3 linked regions of the Saccharomyces cerevisiae S288C genome follow. The gene in region 2 interacts genetically with the main gene of each other region. Each region holds a gene or a part of one and is shown on either strand. Other genes may lie near its edges.

Evidence for each region.
Region 1: mutations in RTS1 (region 2) and PKH3 together harm fitness less than expected from each alone (positive genetic interaction), as found in Saccharomyces cerevisiae (3 studies listed by BioGRID).
Region 3: of RTS1 (region 2) and SGO1, changing one suppresses a phenotype caused by changing the other (phenotypic suppression), as found in Saccharomyces cerevisiae (4 studies listed by BioGRID, with this or other methods).

What each region holds. Positions count from the first base shown.
Region 1 is NC_001136.10:1,390,699-1,398,434, forward strand, and holds PKH3 (protein kinase PKH3), read left to right. Parts: upstream 1-4,422; coding exon 4,423-7,119; downstream 7,120-7,736. Other genes in the region: SPP41 (Spp41p), read left to right, coding at 1-2,481; RMT2 (protein-arginine N5-methyltransferase), read right to left, coding at 2,638-3,876; TLG1 (Tlg1p), read right to left, coding at 7,328-7,736. UniProt on the Saccharomyces cerevisiae protein: Serine/threonine-protein kinase which may phosphorylate the same targets substrates as PKH1 and PKH2, 2 upstream activators of PKC1.
Region 2 is NC_001147.6:354,336-363,121, reverse strand, and holds RTS1 (protein phosphatase 2A regulatory subunit RTS1), read right to left. Parts: upstream 5,449-8,786; coding exon 3,175-5,448; downstream 1-3,174. Other genes in the region: PET127 (Pet127p), read right to left, coding at 1-1,710; ERP4 (Erp4p), read left to right, coding at 2,038-2,661; YOR015W (uncharacterized protein), read right to left, coding at 2,770-3,129; YOR012W (uncharacterized protein), read right to left, coding at 6,166-6,579; YOR011W-A (uncharacterized protein), read right to left, coding at 7,264-7,470. UniProt on the Saccharomyces cerevisiae protein: The B regulatory subunit might modulate substrate selectivity and catalytic activity, and might also direct the localization of the catalytic enzyme to a particular subcellular compartment. Multicopy suppressor of ROX3 and HSP60.
Region 3 is NC_001147.6:460,342-467,160, reverse strand, and holds SGO1 (Sgo1p), read right to left. Parts: upstream 2,391-6,819; coding exon 618-2,390; downstream 1-617. Other genes in the region: CDC21 (thymidylate synthase), read left to right, coding at 1-486; YOR072W-B (uncharacterized protein), read right to left, coding at 2,531-2,692; YOR072W (uncharacterized protein), read right to left, coding at 5,345-5,659; NRT1 (nicotinamide riboside transporter), read left to right, coding at 5,885-6,819. UniProt on the Saccharomyces cerevisiae protein: Plays a central role in chromosome cohesion during mitosis and meiosis divisions by preventing premature dissociation of cohesin complex from centromeres after prophase, when most of cohesin complex dissociates from chromosomes arms.

The sequences.
Region 1 (7,736 bases), on a different chromosome or scaffold from region 2:
AAAAACAAAGAACTAAAGGAGAAAGAGAAACTTGAACGCCAAACTGCCAGAGAGGAAAGGAGACATAAAAAAAAACTAGAGAAGCAGAGGTTGGCTGAAGAACAAGAGGAACTGAAAAAAATTGTTGAACGAGGTCCACCTTATCCCCCAGATTTAAGACTAACTAAAAGCGGTAAACCAAAAAAACCATACAGAAGATGGACTCCGGAAGAGCTACTGAAACGATCACAGGAAGCTGAAAAACCGAGGAAGGTGAAAAAGGAAAGAAAGAAAAAGGAAAAGAAAATGAAGGTACCTTCATCTGCTTTGAAGAAAATTCCTCTCTTCAACTTTGTAAAGGGTAATGTTCAGCCAAGTGCAAGACATCGTCTGAATGACATTGAAGGTTCGCTATCCACTATTGGATTACATAAATCGCCTGACGGTGTCCGCAGGATTCTTTCGAGACCAAAGAGTGAAGATCACGAATGGCCCCTATCAGATTCATCTGCATCTCAAAATTACGATGCACACCTAAAAACTGTAGTGCATAAAGAAAAAATTCCTTTCCATCCCCCATGGACTATACCGTCTCAACCACCATTTGCACTACCCGTAGCTAGAAGAAAGAAAATACCAAATATCAAAAAGTATAGAAAGAGAACCAATAATTCTTTTCGTGTCTCCAAAGAAGGTACGGCAAGTACTAGGAACAGAATTTTACCGGCCATATTACTACCGATAATAAATACATTAAAAGCTGCTGCAAAATCGCAAACAGCTGCTGGCGCCACACCTGAGGAGGCAAGGAAACGGCTGGCAACCATTATTCAACATGCCAAGTCTACAGTTATTAGGGCAGCTTTACAAGCAAGGAAAAACAGTATGCAAGCCGCTCATTCTAAGGGAACTACCACAGAACTGGCAACAACTGCGTCTCGAATGAAGAATCCGCTGAAAATGATTCCTATTTTCAATACATCTCGAGTGAAACAACAATTAGACAAACAATTACCGGCCAGAAGTGCAGGAACAGAAATCAGCAGCTCTGAATCCCCTGATAAAGCCACGCCCGATCCCCACTCTAATTCTACAATCGCTGGGCATACTTTAAAGGGCGTTACTACGCCAATTAAAATAGAAGACAGCGATGCGAATGTTCCTCCTGTTAGTATAGCGGTTTCAACTATAGAACCATCACAAGATAAACTAGAACTTACGAAGAGGGCAGAGAGCGTAGAACCTGTGGAAAATAATGTTGAAACAGCGAAAGAAACCCAAAGCGTACAAGAAATTAAGGAGAATGTCGGTACCAAGGCTTCTGAGGAAGTTACTCTAACTGAAGACAAGACAAATGGGGATCCAAAAAATGAAAAGAGGATATTAATTGAATCTCCTGTCGAAAAAACGGATAAAAAGAAGCCAGGTGAGAAAATTGCTACAGATTTGAATGAAGATGCGAGCCTGTCTGATAAGAAAGATGGAGATGAAAAGTCTACATTGCATTCTGATGCAGCCCAACTTACGGGTAATGAACCAGACAGTGTAAACACGACAACAGGAAAGCCCAAATTAATTGATGTTTCTCTCAAACCGTTAAATGAAGCAAAACCAAAAATTCCCATCATATTTCCCTTAAAAAGACCGCAAATTAAGCCTGAAGTTAGCGTTATTAATTTAGTTCAAAATTTGGTAAATACCAAAATACCCGAAATAAAGAATGAATCCGTTGATTTGGGAAGTAATATCACCGACATTCTTTCCTCTACTATCACTAATATTCTGCCCGAAATCACAGCCACTGATGTTAAAAACTACCAGTATGAAGATGAAAACGTAAAATACCTGAAAAAAACACCAAGACAGGTTTTGAATTTGGATGGACTAGTGCCTCCATCGGGTAGATGTATTACCAAAGCTAAACGTGTCCGCCGCATTAAAAAGCTTTCTGCTGACGCCACTACCGCACCGGAAGCCGATGGAAAGGCAAACAGCGAATCCATTACTTACACATTCGATATACCATCTCCAGAAGAGGTACAAAGTAAGCGTAGTGTAGTCCTAAAATTTGCCAAGGCTAGATTGACCGAGGCGGAGTTGAGTTGTCTAAAGAAGGAGATTAACAATGTGAGGAAACGGAGATGGAGAGAGATGAACTCCACCAAGAACTGGGAATATGACGTAAAGTCTAGATTAAAAAAGCGTGCGAACGCATTTTTTGGGGAAGGAGAATCAGAAACGAAGTCTAAATGGATCGAAGAAAGATTTCAAGAAAAGGTAAGTCAAGAAAAGTACAAGGATCGCCTTGAAACTACTGAGACGCAAGCAAACAACACGAAGATTGTGATTGACGACAAGGAGATTTTGAATATTCTTGCGGTAAACATGAATAACCTTAACAAAGCACGCTGTATTGAAAAAGATATTCAAGAGTCGTTCAGGGAGGAGAAGTTAGCCTCTTTACAACCAAAGAAGAAGAGAAAGAAAAGCATTTTACACTGAGGTGTTACTAGACATAATTTAGTTCATATGTCCATTTCTGCATAATCATATATACTTAAAGTAGCAAATGTATATAGTTTTTTCTTCCGATTTTCGAAACTAATATTAGTATTGGAAATCGGCCCCTGCCATTGTGCAATTTACATTATTCTATAATTAAGCAAACGTGATACGTGGATGGTAATAATAGTTACAGTTAAAGTAAGACCGCTTAACATCATTCCAATCTGGCAATTGCTCGTCAAGAGAATATCTGGTGTAATCGCATTTCATACCATATGTAGCAACATCGATCTCAACAATTTCTTTATATACATCGTAACACAACGATCTGTCAGCGCCTAATCCGTTGAAAAATGAGAAAACGCCTTCTGGTTTAATTAAACCTACCACGACATCGTATAAGTCCAATATGTCTTGGTAGTGCTCGCTAAATGTATCATAATAAATACCATCAAAGAAAACTTCACCTTTGTCTAATAAATTATTCAACGTATCTTGCCATCTTCCCTCTAAAATAACCACATTATCCTTTTCATACCAACCATCCATTTTCATCTTGGCCAAAACATCTGGATGAGCTTCGCAAATATAGTGACGATATGGTTTTCGAGCTTGGATGAATGTATCGATGATCCCCATTCCAAATCCAATGTTTAAGATCGTAGCAGAATTAGTGGCCTCTGGATCAGGAAATAAGGTTTCGGAAGCAAGTTCCATAATCTTGGTTTCCCAATCCATCATAACACCGTCCTTATTTTCCTTTGTGATAAGCGCATCGTCTTTGTACTCTAGTTCTGTTTTTAAGTACACTTGTTGATTTGCCGCGGTAGCATCGTCATCACTACCAACTGATTCTTCTTTTTGACCATCAACTGCTGTTTGAACGCTTTCCTCAGGCTCGATACCTATTAGTTCATCTGTATCCAAGAATTCGACGTCGCCACCATTGAGTTTTCTCAGTAATAATTCAGCAGACACACCAGCTTCCACGAGCCGTCTATAAAGAGGGCTCTCCCTACTTTGATTTCTCTCTAAAAACAAATCACCCACTGTTTTGTCCTCGTAGTCAATAAAATTCCATCCAGCCCCATACTCAAAAAGAATATTCATCATATCCATCACCACTTGCAGTTCCTCATCCTTGATATCCAAGGGTAGCGATCTTGCTAAAACGTGTAACGGCGTTGTGTTTGAGGTTTTATTGTCGTCAGTGCTCTCTCTGAATTCCTTATCCCCGTTCCTGTTCTTTTCCTCATGCTCGAAGGCTGCGACCTGCTCCAAAGTATATGTAGCCGGTATACCAGATTTTAAGAAATGCTGCAGTTTTGGTACATAGTAACTTTGAGAAATGGGCCTCTCTGGGAAAGTAAGCAAAGCATGTAATTCTGACATACTTGAATATATTAAAAGTCCTTGGTGTAAACACCTAGCCGTTGCAACTGCTGGGTATTGTCAATGTCATTTTGCTTTACGCTTAGCTTAAAATGAGATGAGATGAGCTTTGAAAAATTTTAGAAAAAGAAAGGTGCCATCGATTCTCGCCGAAAAAGGAAAAGAATCGTTATAATCCTTCGAATCCTATATACACTAAACAAATATCTGCATTGGTCAACCCCAAGCACACGTACTGATGACTAGAGATGATACTGAAAGTGTTAACAATATAACTTCCTTACTCGCAGCTAATGTCACATATTGAGGTAACAATGGATCGAAACAATTTTCATGCTTACCCGCGCGGTGATTTCTTGGTAGCGAAGGGGTTTTCATGAAGGCAGCAGAAGAGAGGTACATTGATTTGAAAGTGTGAGGAAACAGAATAATAGTGCCTAAAGCCTAACCCAAGCAAGTAAGCAGTTCTTCCACGTCTTATCTATTCAGAGGCTGAAACAATTGAGTGAAAATTTAAAGAGTAGGTGTGGGACATTGGTATGACATATGACGTCTAGGAAAAGGTCTCCGCACGATTTCATATTTAAAGAGGAACTGGGCCATGGCTCTTACTCTACTGTGTTTAAAGCTCTAGATAAAAAAAGCCCGAATAAAATTTATGCCATTAAAGTTTGTTCGAAGAAACACATAATCAAAGAAGCTAAGGTAAAATATGTCACCATTGAAAAGAATACCATGAATTTGTTGGCACAAAAGCATCACGCGGGTATAATCAAACTATACTATACTTTTCACGATGAGGAAAATCTTTATTTTGTTTTGGATTTTGCCCCAGGTGGAGAACTACTTTCCTTATTGCACAAAATGGGTACTTTCAATGATATATGGACGCGTCATTTCACTGCACAGTTAATTGATGCATTAGAATTTATCCATTCACATGGCATCATTCATAGAGACTTAAAACCGGAAAACGTCCTTTTAGACAGGGATGGTAGACTTATGATTACTGATTTTGGGGCCGCTGCCACCATAGACCCTAGTTTAAGCGGAGATTCGGCCAAGTTTAACTCTGACAGCAACGGCTCAAAAGACAACCAAAATTGCGCTTCCTTTGTTGGTACTGCCGAATATGTCTCTCCAGAGCTGCTTTTATACAACCAATGCGGTTATGGCTCAGATATATGGGCACTAGGTTGCATGATATATCAGTTTGTCCAAGGACAACCGCCGTTTAGAGGGGAGAATGAGCTGAAGACATTTGAAAAAATCGTAGCATTAGATTATCCATGGGGACCCAATAACCGCATCAATAATAGCACATCACCAATAAATCCCCTTGTAATAAACTTAGTACAAAAAATATTGGTGATAGAGGTCAATGAGAGAATCTCTCTCGAACAGATAAAAAGACACCCATATTTTTCAAAAGTAGATTGGAATGATAAAATCAAAATATGGAGAGGAATCTGGCAATCACAAGGACAATCGCTGCAACAAACTACTTTGGGACTCCCAAATATACCGCAGAATATACTACCCACCAGACAATTACATGTAATTGACACTCCAGCACGAAGTATACAAATCACAAAACAAAAACGTAAGAAACCAACGAAAATTTCCAACACTACTAGTAGCATAGTAGTATGGAGAAAAAGGCTTGGTATATCAACAGGTAAGGATGATTTAGGCACCGTACCGTCCACTACGCCTGCAGTGACCGCCCCTAATGATACCAATGTATTAACAAATACGGCGGCACATTCTACTGCAAATATTGCCTTACCGCCTAATTCACAATCCAATCAAGTCAAGCGAGCACAACTAGTTGCACCAAATAGAATACCTCCCAAAGTACCGGTAATTAATGACAACGTGAGAAATAAGTCAATTCCGCGCACAAAGCCTAATGTGCCACCTTTGCAAACATCATCAATACCACAAAAGTTGTCAACATCGTCAGCATCGTCAGCTCTATCGGCGCCGTCAACAGAGATAAGGAACCAGGACTTAACACACACTTTAGATGGAAGAAACTCAATTGATATTCATGTTTTAAAACAAGACTACGTCTTCATTTATGGCATTCCATATGAACACGAAGGGCCTGCTATGTCTTTGAACAGCTACAATAAGATCGATAATGATTTAATTACGTCACTAGTTGCGCAGCATAAAGAAGAATTAAAAAACTCAGAGTCGTTTTTACAGGTATTGACTTTGAAGAAGAGCGGAATGTTAAGTTACAAAAACACAGTTATGGAGGGAAATGATGATCAAGAAAACAAAGAACACCAGATGGCTAATATAGAAGATACAGACTTGTCCATGTACGATTTTGAATTCAATGAGTTGACAAGGAAGGGTTTTTTAATCCTGGAAAAATATAAGAATAGAATATGGTTTATCTCGCTACCTTCATATTCAACGTTATCCAAAATACCATTCAATGCCGTGAAGTCTTCGACAATAAATAACAATGAAAATTGGGTCGATTGCTTTTTCAGAGCAAGACAACTACTAGAAGAAAAGCAAATTCTTGATAAAATCAGTAACGTTTCCTTTGATAGTAAGGCATCGAGTGAACCATCATCACCTCCGCCTATTTCAAGAAAAGAGCGGCCTCTGAGTATAGGAAATAATGTAACAACACTCAGCTATACTGCAAAAAATGGAAGCCAGAACAATGCACCACAAAACGATAATGTTGGAGAAGAAAAACCTTTTCGCATACCTAGTAGTACCAAGGATAGGCCCGGTGCAAATTCCACTCCTTCTTCAAGACATCCTAGGGTTTTGTCAAGCAATAACGCTGGTGAAACTCCGAAAAAAATGAATGGAAGATTACCAAATAGTGCACCTTCTACCAATACATATACCAACGGTTCGGTCCCAGCTTTTAATCATAGGCCTTCTACTAATGTAGGGAACAATAAGCATAATATTTTAACTTCGAAGAAGCAGGGATCATCCGTATTTTCTCCTTCATCTTCTACGACCAAGCCTCAAATCAAAACAACAGGATATCGACAGCCAACACCTTCACCTCCACTTCCGCAAATGGAATTCCCAACTACGAGAGAAAAGTATTCTGCTCCTTCTAACATGGTGATCAGTAGCAGCAGATACGAGGTCTTACATACCCTTAATAACAGCCAAACAAACTTTGATAGGGAAATTGCTAGTAGGGGTGCCTCAGCAGCATTTAGAAGTTTACAGAAGAGTAAGAAAAAAAAATAACACGCTTTAATAATATTTGTGGTTCCTCTACTTCGAAACAAAAAAATATGCACGAGTTGTTGACGATCCAGAAAAACCAACATATAAATCATATCCAAACCCTTGTAGCATTAATATCCGTATCACTTATGTATTCAGAATGCATGTATTTTATATATGCCCAGTATATCTTCGATTGAAGCTCTTCGGCATTAGTGCATTGTATTTTTCAAGCAATGAATGCCAAAACTAATAAAACTATCAAGACGACAATAAGAAGTCCTATACAACAATCGTCGTATTTTTCTTTATTTTTTTCGTAGACCCATTCCAATTGCCTACGACCTCTAGCCAGCTTATTTACAACACCGTCCATACCCTCGTCCATATTATCCAACAATTGTCCCTGGTTCTCTAATTCATCCCCCATTGTTTGAGCTTGAATATGCAAATTTTGCATTGTCTTGTGAATACCATCTAAATGAACATCTTGTTCTCTTAACATTTGTTCCTGAAACGGATTGGACATACCACCATCATTGTTCTCAGCCATGCTGGTGTTAAGTGTTGAATTTTCCACCGTCTCTTCTAGAGGAATAGTTGTTTGAGTAGATTCCTGTATTCTTCGATCAAAACGC
Region 2 (8,786 bases):
TTTGGATCGTTTTTCTTCAACTTCGGTTTTAAGCATTATTTTGCATTTTTCCCATTTCGTATTACTTGAGTTAAGTAACTGCTCAACGTGTTTCAAAATATTACTGAACAGATTCATAGACATCTTAAATTCCCTATTAGCCACCAAGCAAGCAATTTTCCTATCGTCCCTGTCATAGTGTAGAATGTAGTCCTCCTCACCATATATCCCTTTTGTGATATCATTCTTCTCCTTTAACAAACTGTCGAATTTGCTGTTATACGAAGAATGGATTATATAATCTAATTCGTCCAAAGGTAGATATTGGAATCCAAACATCTTAGAAATATTGTGGTATGCAACGAAAATACCGTCCATTTTGCCAATTCTAGCTTGCAAAGAATACTTTAGAAGGGCAGACCTGATTAGTTCAAAATATTCTCTTTCCAAAGACTCAAATTCCCCATAAACTTTATCTATCTCATATCCAGTTTGGTTGTTATTACTCTCTACATGTGATAAATCGTATCTTATGGCAGAAACTGCTCTTGTCTTCAGATCAAATACACCCGTTCCAGGTAGATTTGGGTCGTACGCGTCCAATTGAGATCTCACAATGAATTCATCTATACTAGAATAGTGATAATTTTCACTTTTTGAACTATTCTTCAGGGACTTTTCCGTTAAAAAGTCTTCAAGATAATGACCTAGTACAGAAAGCACAATCTCCCTATCCAGACTTCTATCTGAATCAATAGAACAAATGCCATTTCTCTTCTTTCTCAGAATGACTGCTGACGGAAAATATGCACTTTCTGAATAATTGCAGTTTTTTTGAGGAAAATTTTTCGATATCGAGGAATCAATGATATTCAATCTTCTGAAATTGGATAATAAATAGTGCAACTGAGAAAGTACTGATGTCATGGAACTTGATGAAGATATGTACTTTTTTCTATGTTCTTTGGCAACCTTTAACAGAGATTCATCTTTGTGGGGTGTGATGAATATTGGCTTGCTTTGTCCTTCTCCAGAGGAGTCTGTGTTCACATCTTTTTCACTTTTCTTTTCCAAATACTCTGGATTAATATTTTCCACTGCAGGGTCAAAATTATACATTCTGCTCCTATTATCTCTCAATTTTTGTAGCGACAACGGTTGGTATAACACTCTCGTTAATCCATGACCAATCCTAGGAGGCTTTTGGTTGTGTTTTTGAACACCATCTTGATTGTAACGTACTAATGCGTGCCTAATCTTCTGGACATTTATCCGAAAAGTGTATGAATTGCTATCTGAATATGTTCTGCTAGCGGGATATGTTCTCCTAGCGGGATATGTTCTCCTACCAGGATATGTTCTTCTACCAGGATACGTTCCTACCTTTGTCCGCTCCAAATACTTATCATGTCTATACTCCTTCTTTATATTTGTTTTCAGTAGATTAATCGCCTTGTCCATTTCTTCCGTATATTTTTGTCGACCTCCCTTTTCCTTGTTTCCAATGTCCTCTACAGTCGAATTTGTGTCATATATTTCATCGACCATCTCTAAAGCACTATGCAGGTCAGAACGTAGCTTGTCTGGTGTTTCTCTTCCACTAGGGGCATTTGTGAGAGCAGCGCCAAAGTGATAAATCGATCGCTGTTGATAGCTTTTAGCGGCGCTACCTATTCTGCAAGGCTCAACAGATAGACGTCTGGACAGGAATCTACAGTTGTAGAACCCCATTATCAAAACTATAAAAGTATCAGGTAGCGTTTGGCTCTTTTTTGTGCTCTCTCAAGTGCCCTGTTTATATTATATTTTTACATATTTGTTTCTTTATTAACCAACGGCATTGACGGAAACGCGCTTTATTATGGACTACTTTTTTTTCACTGTTTCCTGTTTTTTGACGTGATATACTCAAAGATGAGCGATTGACGATCTGAGAATTCTATTTGGGAACTCTTCTCTGCTTTGAAGACATTTATTTCCCAGCTGCCTTTGAAGTAGTTTCACGAGCGCTAGTGAAGTTTTTTCATAAATATATATTCCCAATCATCGCTAGGAATTATGCGCGTTTTTACTTTGATTGCGATTTTGTTTAGTTCATCTTTGTTAACACATGCATTCTCCTCTAATTATGCTCCTGTAGGCATATCATTACCTGCTTTTACCAAAGAATGTCTTTACTATGATTTATCCTCTGATAAAGATGTCCTTGTGGTCAGTTACCAAGTTTTGACAGGTGGGAATTTCGAGATAGACTTCGATATTACCGCCCCTGATGGCTCTGTTATCGTCACTGAAAGACAAAAGAAGCATTCTGATTTTCTACTGAAGTCGTTTGGTATAGGTAAGTACACTTTCTGTTTGAGTAATAACTACGGCACTTCCCCAAAGAAAGTTGAAATCACCCTCGAAAAGGAAAAGGAAATTGTTTCTTCCCATGAAAGCAAAGAGGACATAATCGCAAACAACGCCATCGAGGAAATTGATAGGAACCTGAATAAGATCACCAAAACAATGGATTATTTAAGGGCTAGAGAATGGAGAAACATGTATACTGTGAGTTCTACTGAGTCAAGATTAACATGGCTCTCATTACTAATTATGGGGGTAATGGTTGGTATCAGTATAGTGCAGGCATTAATTATTCAGTTCTTTTTTACCAGTCGCCAAAAAAACTACGTATAGGTTGCTTTTCAAGCTCTTAAAATTGTTGGATCAGCTGTGCTAAGGGGAAGGCACTTTTTTGTATCATGATCCTATTTTTTTTGTTATTTAATTATTTATGACATACCTTTATACTTTAGTTTTCAAAAATCCAATAATAGATAGGCAAGGTTTACGGAAAAGAGTGGAGTGCAAAATAAATAGAGGAAAGGCAGAAGGAAGAAGGAAAGCGAAAAGAAAAACGAAGATATATTTGGAGAAAAGTATAGAAATAATAAAATGAAGACACATCGATTGAAGTATGCTCAAATGATGAGAAAAAGAGACCTTTATCTCAGGCCACAAACAACCATTGTCCAAGTGGCTTATCTTTGCTATAGTTTTGTTCGAATATTCGGGGATTCTATCTTTGGTTTCTTCAACAAGTTGACCCCATTTACCAGTTCTTTTTTGCTCTTCATATACTGCTGCTCTTTTGAAATGTGGCATGCCCTAAACTTCCTCACTTCTTCGAGCTTGTAATGAATTGCTGTTTCACTGTATCTCGCTGTCACAATCATTTTCGTTCTCTTCATTTAATGTGTTATTCTCACTTGCTGTGTTGAAACTGTTTCTTAATTCTGGGTTTTTGATTGTGTATTGGTCCTTATCATTGTTAATCCTTAGATTTTTTACATATTCTTCAAGTTTGCTCCAATTTTCTTCACGTTGCACCTTACGCTGTTGAGTTTCTTTTACACTTGATAAGTACAATGCATTACAGTTTTCGTACAATACTGGGTTTGTTTCCAGAAAAATTTTCAATGCCTTGAATGCCATAGCATGAATTGCCCTATTCCACGAACCAGAATTGATTGCTTGCTCAACAAGCATGTAAGGGTCTGAAATGCTATCTTCGCCATTTGCTGTATCTAGCTCTAACTGAGAAGTTAATTCATATAATGCAGGAAATATAATGGGTAGGATGACTTCGGCATTTTCGATACATAAGTTTAAGAAATATTCATTATTCCAATAACTTAAAACCTTTTCCGCCACTTGGAAATGTGGAGAAGAAATACACTTAGCTAATTGAACAAATAACGGAACTTCTACTTTAATAAATTCCAGCGGTTCGATCACTTCAAAAATATCCTCGATTTCATTTAGAAACATTATCTCTTTTGTGGAATTTATTTTTGGCCAATAACGCAGTAAGCCCATAACTACCTCTTCGGTTAATAAAGGATCTTTTTCGAGAAATTGAACGATACAGTAAGCCAACTGAGGGTGGTATAATGATAAACAACGGACCTTGTGTAATGGTATCAATATCCTCACCAAGAAAACCTTGTGCTCTTCCTTTAATGGAAGTGCAAATCCATTAATTATGGAACCCAAAATTTCTAACAATTCTGCCACACCGTTAAACTTCTCAGTCTCATAAATAAATTGCAAAAAAATATTATTCATCGACCGACGAATAAAGCTTCTTAATGATAAGAACTTCCCATATATTCTATGCAGTGTCGTTTTCAAACAGTCTCTTTCTCTGATATCTTCGCTATCAAATAATTCCAGTAACTTTAAAATAAAGTCCTGATCAATATATTGTTTAGCAATCTGATGATTGAAATCAGGACTTTCCACAAACCTTAAAAAGAATTCGTAAACAGCTTGCATATGAGGCCAGGCTAGTTCGTTAACAGGTTCATCTTCATCTGGGTCATAAATGTCACCAACTGGATTTACTGGTGGTGGAATAGGTCTAAACAGATTGATTTTGAACATGTTCACCACATGAGCGTACATCTCATTCGTGTAAGTGAACCTATTTGTTACAAGGAATTCTATTAGCTCATCTAAGGTGCTTCTTTTAATCTCTTTACCTTGAATGTCAAAACTTGGATCATTAAAGTCAAACATAGTGTTACACTGGTCAACTTTGGCAATGAACAAAGGGATTCTTTCTTCAGGAGAAACTTCATTAAAATTTGGCAATTTCGTTAATGGCGTATATCTAGATGGCTCGAATCTAGATGAAGAATGACGTTGGGGAGTCTTAATTAACTCTAAATCTGTGTCAGGGTTAAGTTTTGTGGGTGTTGGTAGTCTCTCAAATGAGTGTGATGATCTCGGAATGTCGATACTTTGTGAGGAGGCGTGGTTTGCATCCTGAGTATTACTAGTATTAATATTCATATTGTTATTATTACTATTACCATTTTCTACATCAGAAGAAACTGCTGTACCTGAAGCATTTGAAATGGGAGATGATGGAACAGCGGATACTGCCCCCAGCAAAGTAGGATGTGCATGATCTTCACCAGAAGTGCTTTTGTCGTCCTTAGTAACAGTGAGTACTGGAGTGGGGTTCATTATAGCGGCAGATGATGAAGAAGATCCTTGCTTTTGAGATTGTGATGGCTGTTGCGATTGTTTGGACTGTTCTTGTCCTTTTCTTGAACTTGTTTTCTTTGTGGAGCTTGAACCGGAGCGACTGACACTTGAACTTCTACTGCTACTGCTGCTGGAAGAAGGGGTCGTCGCTGTTTTTGTTTTTGATGTAGAGCTACTATGATGCTTCCCTTGCGAGGGAACACTACCAGATTGCTTGCCCTTCTCAGTTGTAGACTTTGATCCGGTACTGCTGGCAGAACTGTGAGTAGTCCCGTGGGAAGAGCTACTAGCCGAAGCGGGCTTCTTTGATGTGGATGAGGTAGTGGAACTTTTTTCTTTTTCCTTCTCTTTGTCCTTCTTTTTACTGCTTGAAGAAGAAGAAGACCCGGTGGTCTTCTTTATTAATCTTTGCTTGAAACCACGCATCATATTGAAAGTGGATGTTCGAAAATAGCACGTGCCTATTGATCTTAATAAGTAGAACTTTTATACAAAATAAAAAAGCCAGTTAAAGACGGTATTGAGGTGAACAGGTATATGGAGAAGGGTTTATATTTTTATCTAACAAAAAAAGGAAAAAAAAGCAAAATCGAGGGGGGAAGGAAATGAAACCCAAAATACTTACGGCGACGATGGTTTATCCTTGAAATGAAGAGTTTTCCAATGAAGAAACGAGACGTATTGACATGCCTACCAATTGAAGTGGAAAACAAAGCGTAGTTTCACATACTCTTTGATAATCAATTGTCTGATACTTTTTTTTTTCCTTTCTCGCAGCCGGGATAGGGGGTTGTGACCCGGCAAAAAATGTTGGTCTAAGTTTTATTGTTGCTATATGCTCCATACATACAATAAATGTCTATAAAATTTTTAGAAGAAAATCAGGCGTGAAAGATGGTGTCTGCATCTTTGTGGTAGAGCATCAAGTAGGCCGTGAATCCCTTCCCCTGCGGATCGGGTTCTCCTTTGGAGTTCACTTCTCCAACCCCGAACTGAAACACCAAATAGGTTTTGAAACCGAAATATTCGTACACAGATCTTGCGTGCTCCGAAATAGCCTCGAGAGCAAGGGCGCAATTGGCCTTGTCTGCTTTGGTTTTATATTTTTCGAGTATTTTTCTGACTGAACCTCTAATTTCGGGATGGCTAGGATCTTTTCCGATGGCATAAAGGTAGTAATAGTCCATTCCCAGAGGCATGACTTCGTGCTTCCTCACAGTCAAGTCGTGAAAAAAAAATCTTATTGAAAGACTCGTCGTCAGATAGTGTAGCAGGCAAGTGGCACCCAGGGCGGCTCCATATTGCGACTGCATCGAAATCATTTGCCTCAGCAATTTCACCATCCAAGTCATGGTAGCACGTCGTGTAGTAATGTATCATTGCATTTATTCTTGCCCTTGAAACTTTTTCAGTGATTGGGATATGGAAGAACTTTTTCATCAAGTAGTCATTTGCGTATGACTTTTCGAATGCCTTAAACAAAGTTTTCGAAGCCTTCTCTACATCGCTTGTCAAGTTTACCGCCAAAGAGGATTCTTCATTGATCGATGATGCTACCATTATCAAAACTATTGATTTGTTTTCAACGTTCTGATTAGTATTTTTGTCACTGCCTTTTTCTATTGTTTCTTTTTTTGCATTTCTTATAGTAACATAAAAAACACAGGAAAAAAAACGTCGTTTATTATATCAGGAGTAAAGGATTTCTGCCCAAAATGTCAGGAAAATTACGATATAAAACGTACTATAAGATAACAAGCGGCTGAATAATTTCTGAGGTCAGAACCATAAGGGTACTGAAATACTATGTGCTAGATTTTTTATTTATTTTCTTTTTCTGATTGATTATCGTTTGGTTAAAATCAGTATGATATTATATATGACTTGCTTTATAATATATCAAACCGACATAAAAAATTATCCTACTCAAAAAAGATCATGGTTGTCCCCGCGTTTCACTTCTGTTATACCATGCAAATTTTTATATCAAATGAGTAATTCTTTCATTTCTTTCGGGACCCTTTACGAAGTAGTTGTTATATCTCCACTGGCAAGGCCACGAACTGACAAAAAAGGCATGATATAAATTGTGAGAAATTGTGAGTTAATTTAATAATTATGCGACGAGATGATAGAAAGGTAAAGACGACTTTTTGAGCCGGATCTGTTTACGTCAGTAAATTCTCGCGCCCCAAGACGTTATGAGGCATAAAATTTATTGCGTTCAGTTTTCTAAAGAGCTCACTATCGGTGATAGAAATCTTTCTTTTTTATTATCTTCTTGTCAGTAGTAATGTATAAGCACCAATATTGAAATGTCCAATTTTTTCGGCTCTTCCCAAGAACTTCAAGAGAGCAGTAGTATGGAAGAAAGTATTGTGAATGATACACAAAACGGTTTAAATACTCCAATATTTCAAAATGAAAGAAATTGAAAACCGATTTTGCCATTAATAATGATTGCTTATTATCCTTTAGTGAAGAAGTTTGTATTGAACTTCAAAGCTGATTGAAAAATCATTATATTTGAACACGTCGTGAGAAGACATGTGTCCAAGTGCATAGTTATTTAAGGCTTCTACGCTGCTTTGTCCTTTTATTACACATTATAATGAGTCTTCAAGATATTTGACTCAGTATGTATAAGAGAATGCTTCCATTGAGATAGTAAGATGATACGTATTGTTACAATACTTGATAATAAGATGCGTTAAAATATTAGTTAAAATGTTAGCTAAAGTTGTACAATTATTCAAGTCGGTGGAACAATAACACTCATTTTATATTTAATTTGTAGGCTGGTTAAATTTAATAACACTTCTTAGGGCTCTATTTTTATGAACAGGACATCATATTATGTAGGCAATAACTTCCGAACTTCGTAATTGATTTAATTGATAATACGACCTATCGTGAATATGCTAAAAGTTCTTTTCGAGGATATAGAGATTCTCGAAGAGAGAGAGATATTCTAAATAACAATATACATATATATATATATATATATATATATATATATTCCTTTCTTGCTTCTTTTTTGTACATTATGTAACTATATTTCTTTCTCATTCCAAATATTCAAATGTACAGGTATTTAATACCGCCTCAATTGATTTAGCGGTATTTTATTTTCTAACAGCTTAGTTATAATACTAAATATACAAAATATATTAGAAGCTCTTTCTCAAGGATATAGGAACCTGCCAAGGAAACCCATATTTCCACATAATGTTACTATTATTATTTCTTCTATTTTTTATGTTGTCATTCATTATCCTATTACATTATTAAATCTTGCATTTCAGCTTCCATTAAATCAGATGACTGTTTTCAATCCTTTTTTATCTTTCTACTCCGTCTACCACAATATAATAGCTTATGAATACTCGCCGGTAGATTATAGTCGATTCTTATTCCAATAGTTTGTTCCTCCAATGACGTTATAACTAATCATAAAGCAATATAGCTAAATTAGGTACCTAATCTTAAAAGATTTTCAGATTTAAACTAATCCTTGTTGCCTATCTTAATTTGAATATTTCTGTATTCTCGCTTAAAAAACATGATGCTGATTATATCTGTTAGTTCAGGTATTCTTTTTACTCCTATATTCTTCTCAGTCATGACGAAGTGTATGTTGTTTTACGGGTACGAGTAATACCGGGGTGTCTTGAAAATCCCAATATAAACAGTCAATGGAAGTAACCAGTTGTCAGAACGGATTATCAGCTTTTCATGGGATGTTACTTATCCTATATATTATATAA
Region 3 (6,819 bases), 110 kb from region 2:
AAACAGGTTATACATAAACTAAAGACAAATCCCTACGATAGAAGAATCATTATGAGTGCCTGGAACCCAGCTGATTTTGACAAAATGGCTTTGCCGCCATGCCATATTTTTTCACAGTTCTATGTCAGTTTCCCCAAAGAAGGAGAAGGATCCGGTAAGCCCCGCCTTTCATGCTTATTGTACCAACGTTCTTGTGATATGGGGTTGGGAGTACCATTTAACATTGCATCATATGCTTTGTTGACTAGAATGATTGCTAAAGTTGTCGACATGGAGCCAGGTGAGTTCATTCATACTTTGGGGGATGCACATGTTTATAAAGACCACATTGATGCCTTGAAAGAACAAATCACCAGAAATCCAAGACCATTCCCGAAACTAAAGATTAAAAGGGACGTTAAAGACATTGATGATTTCAAGTTGACAGACTTTGAAATTGAAGATTATAATCCTCATCCAAGAATTCAAATGAAAATGAGTGTATAATTGACAGCACGAGGAGAAACAAAATCATGTACTTACGTATATACACACAAAATCGAATGTATATAATACAATGGTTTATTATGCAAAAATATAGAAATTATTAAGGAACACCAGGGCAAAAAGACTATATATCATTTTTTGGTGCGATATGTTTTTGGTTGATGTTTCACTGCCTTACCATTTCCAAATAAATCAAATACTGCTAAATCATCTTCATTTAGTCTAAAGCTAACAGATTTATTATTAACATTATTAATGTTTGAATTGTTATTGTCGAAATTGTTGTAATTGTTGTTATTATTACTGGTTCCCTTTGACGACTTGGAGGGTCGCGTAGTAGAATTTTCATCAGATAAATTATTGACAATTGCATTTTTGAACAATTTTTTAGTTCTTGTTGACTTTTTCTTATTCTCCGATTTATTTGTAATGTCAAGTAAAGGCGACGATTTTTTAGGGCTATTGTTGCTAGTTAGTTTTTTTTCGTTTTTGTTGTTGCTGTTGTTGTTGGAAGTGGTCATTAGATGAGCGGTATCCTCGTGTATTTCATCTTCCGTTTTTTTCCCTTTTGGAGTTCCATAATCCTTTGAGACGACGACTTCTCTCAATTGCGGTTCGTCGGGTATTGAATCTTGGGATAAACTTTTCCTTTTATGTGAAGTTTCCCGATTTCTCTTGGAAACCTGTAGATCATGTATATCAATCACAGTAGTAGCATCCACAAGTTTTTCTGAAGGCCTCCTCATTTTGGCTCTTAAAGAAGGCAAAGTGTAATCTACAGCTTTACCACGAGTTCTTCTAGTTCTCGTAAATGATATTTCGCTGTTGCTGCTCATGTTACTTACGGGCATGACTTCGTCAATAACCTTTTTCTTCAGTTCTATCCTAGGCGGCTTCATGGAATGCTTAATTTTGGTCTTTGGATGAGAATTAGTAGAAGAACTTGATGAAGGATAGACCGTTGAAGCATCGCTAGTGGTAGTAGGTAAAGTTGCGGATGGGCCTGGTAAAGGCAACGGCAAAGGATTTGACGGCACTGTACTTAGCATATTTGTACTGTCATTGAATATTTCTAGTTTAGAAGATGAATGCTCGGGTTCTGTCGGATTCTCCTCTGGTATGGAGTATTCTATAATTGAATTGGTAAAATTACTGACAGAATCGCTATTTTCCTCTTCAGGGTTTAAGGCATCTATTGTTTCCTCCACTTGCGCAGACTCGTGTGATTCTGCCGGTACCTCTACAGAGGAATTTTCCATCATGGGTTCGTTTTCACCGGTTTCGTCTTCAGGTTCTAAACTCGTGGATACAAACATAGATTGCCGCCTAGAACTCTTCCTTTTTTTAGCCTTAGGCTCAAGATCTGGACCATCGTCCTTGTTAAAACTTGATTCATGCGACAGGTTATTCTCGTGATTTGATAACCTAGTGTAACTTTTTGAGTATGTGGGTGATGACAATGAGCATGATCTTGACCTGGAACTCGTTCTCTTCAACATTGTTCTTAAGCTCGAACTGGGCAAATTTTCGTTTTTACGTACGTTCTCAAACATATAAAAAATTTCGTCAAATCTTTGAATAATACCGTTTTCAATGACTTGTAGTTGATTACTTAACCGTTCCCTGTAGATAGCTTCGCTTATAGAGGTTTTAGATCGTAGAGTCACGTTTTCTTGTACCAGCTGGCTTATTTTTTTTTCCAAGCTATTAACTTTAATTTTTAATATGGAGTTATCCTTGGCCAGCAGGGAGTTTTGCCTCGAATACGACTGTCTGATGTTTTCCACTTTTTGCGATTCGAGATCCATTAGGTTTTGAAATTCTTGTATTTGTGGGGTTAAATCATCGTGGGAGACCGTACGCCTGCTGCTTTCCTTGTTAGGAGCAATTTTTCTCTTCGGCATGGTCAAACAATAACCCCTCTATACCCAATTAAACATATATATGCGTGTGTAAGTAATATAACCCTGCGCCTAGCAGTAGTTGTAATGTGGAAATGGCATTATCAATATTAGTAGACGCTCACTTTGTGAAATTTCTTTGTTTACAAAACAAAAGGGCCTTGAAAAAAATAAAAAAAATCTGTTACCCGACCAATAGGAAATAAATAATCAAAAATAAAAGGGGCGAGCTGGGAATTGAACCCAGGGCCTCTCGCATGCTTTGTCTTCCTGTTAGTCAGGAAGTCGCCCAAAGCGAGAATCATACCACTAGACCACACGCCCTTGTTAACTTGTTGTTAAGACTACTTAGTCTTGAGTATCACACTGCATTCAGTAACATATATTCTTTTAATCTTCTGGCTGAGAACTCCAAGAATAATCGCTAAAAATACTCAAGGGTAAGTACCCCAAACAAAGTTCTGTCCTTCTTAGATATTTTAAATGAGGGAAACTAAATCATTAGTTTATTATTTAGATGCATTTTTCCCAGCTTTAACCTTTTTATTTAAAGGAAATTATAAAAAAAATTTTAAAAAAATGAGTTTTGCGTATCCAATAAATAATAGACAAGATGCTGTCACAACAGTATTAAAATTTCTGAAAGATTCTGCTGTCTCTGGACTGTGTAATACAACAATTCTTCGGAAAACTTGATTCGGAATAAACAATGGTCTTTCATTTATGGAAAATTTTCTTCTTTGTCTCGGTCACTAAAAAAAGCCTTAGCAAAGCTATATAGAAAGAAAATAGTGATATGGTGTATTTGCCGTAAAACTATGGTTTATCCAAGGTCGCCTTCAGTAAACTTTCGGAAATATATTCATCGGAGATATATTATATAATGAGTACATAGCAATCTAATCATGCTGGGTCTTCTTGCACCCCAATGAAACCATAATCATGTAAATGCTTGAAAATTCCGGGCATACTATCCTCTTCCTCAATAACCCAATCGAAGTAGAGTGCTAGTTGTGCACTATGTCCTTGCTGCTCATTAAATAAATTTACTGACAGTTTGGTGGAATTTCTTTGTTCGATCAGATAGTACTGTTAGGTATTTGTTGACATTTACTTCCCTATCACATCAGACCACTGTTTCTCCTTCCTTTTTGCCATCTTCTTACCTATTATATGATAATATAGTTCAAAAGGAAATACCAGTCAATGAATGATAATTGGCTCTTACTCCAACCGTTCTTAATCTGGACCAGTAATTGTTCTTATGGTGAAAAAGTATGGTGACGTCTTTACTTTTAAAAATATTTTTAACAGTTGAAGGAGCTCCCCGTGTACATCTTGCCAGATCTTCAAGAGAAATGTCACCAAATAAATTATGAAATTAAAGTACAGCGGTAGTGATAAAAACGATCATCAAGTAGTGCCATCCGATATTTCGTGTCAATTTCCAAGCTCATGATTTATGACATACAGGATTTTCAAGAATATTAAATCTTGTTCCTGAGGAATTTTTGATAAATCCAATAAATAGTAAATAATAAGAAAAAAGACAGAACAACAACGTTTTGGTGGGAGAAAGGCCACTTCTCTGACCAGACTAGAGTACTAATATTTACGACAAATATACTGAGACCGTGACCAATGGTAGAAGGTGATTGGCTTGAAAGAAATGCCAACATTAAAGCACATATCACTGCTCTTGATATCAGTAGAGTTGCAAAAAAATTATACTACTAAAATCAGCTCAACGGCAAGAAGTTACTAAGCACAGCAGAAATTCTGGAGCTAAAGAGAATAATATACATACAAGACTGACTGAAAACTCTGTTTTCCACATGCAGTGGACTCAAAATATTCAGTTGAAGAAGCAAGCACAAAATTGGATCAACCCGTCGCGTCGCGGCCGCTGCTGCAGGCGACAAATCCACTGGCAAATTGTACGCGGCCTCGTTACTCCTACTTGAAAACAGAAGTAACAACAACAAATTCAAGTTTCTACGAAATGGGTCTCATGACGACAAGGTGCGCCCCCCTATCTACCTTGTTGTAAGTCTGGGACCTGGGGCTAATTTCTCATCCCCGGAAACAAAAGTATACAACTACGTGGCTAAAAATTTTTTAGTATGCAGCACATAGGATGCCAAGGAGCAATTTTTAACCCTGGCAATCTGAGCTACTGAACGGCCGCCTCAGGACTCATAGTTCTCTATATATAATTTCTCCATGTTTCTCCTTGTGCCTGGTGGAAAATATCAAGTAGTTGCCGCGACATAAAATGAATGCCTCGTAGACACCGCGAAGCCGGAATGAAGGCGGACACTACGGCACCGCCTCAAACCCAACGGCCGAGAGCGAGTTCATCTCCCTCATAGATGCGAACGGCATTGGCACTGACGCCATCATTGTAGAACATATAGACAAGATTAAAATGCGTAATCACATCATGAATGGGAAGTTAGGTGCGGTCCACTACCCTGGGGGCCTCACTGGGGACGTCATCACCCCCAAAGCACCTCAATAAGTCCATAAATAAATATATAAAAATTACTGAATAATAATAAAAAAAATAAATTAGTTCAGTCTAAAGAAATGGAAGCAAAAACCTCAAAAAAAAAATTTTTTTACGAAGACTATGCTTCCAAGACTGACGTCTTAGAGGCATAGTCGAGAAGAAAAGGAATTACTGGCACAGAACGACAAGAAATATCGTGTCGGCGCCAAGGCATCTATGTAACTACGTCTTGTGATCACCGGTATAGCTGGGACTATTCCGTTTCATCATATGATCTGGCCGTCTGCGCTTGTACATTCTGGGCGCCAGGCGTAAATGACCAGAGTAATGTCTTGCTGTAGTCGTCCGTCGCCACAGAAGCGCGTGGACGCATGATCGCGCGCAGCGACCGGTCGGTTCGCAAGACGGTTGGCAATAGGAGTTTCCTGCTGACCGCCTTATTAATTTATATGAAAGAGGAGAATTTGTCATCGGGCTTTCGAATGAAATAAAACAGCTCCTTTAAGTAATGGAACTGGAAGAAGGAAGAGAATAAACGACAGAATTTTCGTGCTCGGAGCGAACACCGCGCCGGGTTACGAACAACAGTGGCCACTACTATAATAGTTATGGAGTAGACGTCAGAATATATAGCGCAGGCGTCAGAGTATAGCGCGGGCGTCAGGATATAGTGTGCCAATGTAGCGTGGTTGCATGCAGCTAGCTTTTTAGTTGAGTCAGACCTGCTCCAAAAAAAGAGGAACACAACTTTCGTCAGCATGTGTTGCTACCGCTATTTGTTCTTCGGGGAAAAAAATTTGCATTCGCTATTGTAGTTTTAATTTTCCTTCTCTATTCTCATAAATAGAGTTAAAATCTTATAAACTCCAGAATTATCAAGAACAATTACCTATATTATTTCCTATTGCAGAATTTATATTATTCTTTATTGTACTGATATCCCCATTATAACTATCAAAAAAAGGACTTCAGCACCTGTATCATCATGAGCTTCAGTAGTATAGTCTCTAAGTTTTTGAGATATTTAGAAATTCCTGCCAAAAATAGGACTGCCGTGAATTTTCTGAGGAACCCTGATTTGCAACCTATCAAGTCTGCAAATCAAACATGGGGGTTCTGGTCTAATTTGGCGTACTGGGGCGCTGTGTCCTTTACAGCAGGTACATGGATGAGTGGTTCTGCTGCACTAAGTGTCGGCCTAAGTTACCCAGAGACCATTGTTTCGTTTCTTCTCGGTAATGTCTTGACCATTATTTTCACTATGGCCAACTCTTACCCCGGTTATGATTGGAAAATCGGTTTCACCTTGGCCCAAAGATTCGTTTTTGGCATTTACGGTTCAGCCTTCGGTATCATCATTAGAATTTTGATGAGTATTGTCAATTATGGTTCCAACGCTTGGTTGGGTGGTCTATCTATCAACATGATATTAGATTCCTGGTCCCACCACTATCTGCACCTGCCCAATACTTTGTCCCCAAGTGTTGCCATGACCACCAAGCAGTTGGTCGGCTTCATTATTTTCCACGTCCTCACCGCGCTCTGCTATTTCATGAAACCCTACCATATGAACTACCTTTTAATTTGGTCATGTGTAGCTACTTGCTTTGCCATGCTGGGTATAGTGATTTACTTGACTAAGAATGCCCATGGTGTCGGTGAATTGTTTACCTCCACAAAATCTACCGTTACTGGTTCTAAAAGAGCATGGGCTTGGGTTTACATGATTTCATACTGGTTCGGTTCCATTTCTCCAGGTTCCACCAACCAAAGTGACTATTCAAGATTCGGTTCCTCCAATTTGGCTATCTGGACCGGTAGCGTCTGTGCATTACTAATCCCAGCAACCTTGGTCCCAATCTTCGGTGTCATTAGTGCCTCCACCTGCGACAAATTATACGGTAAACAATTTTGGATGCC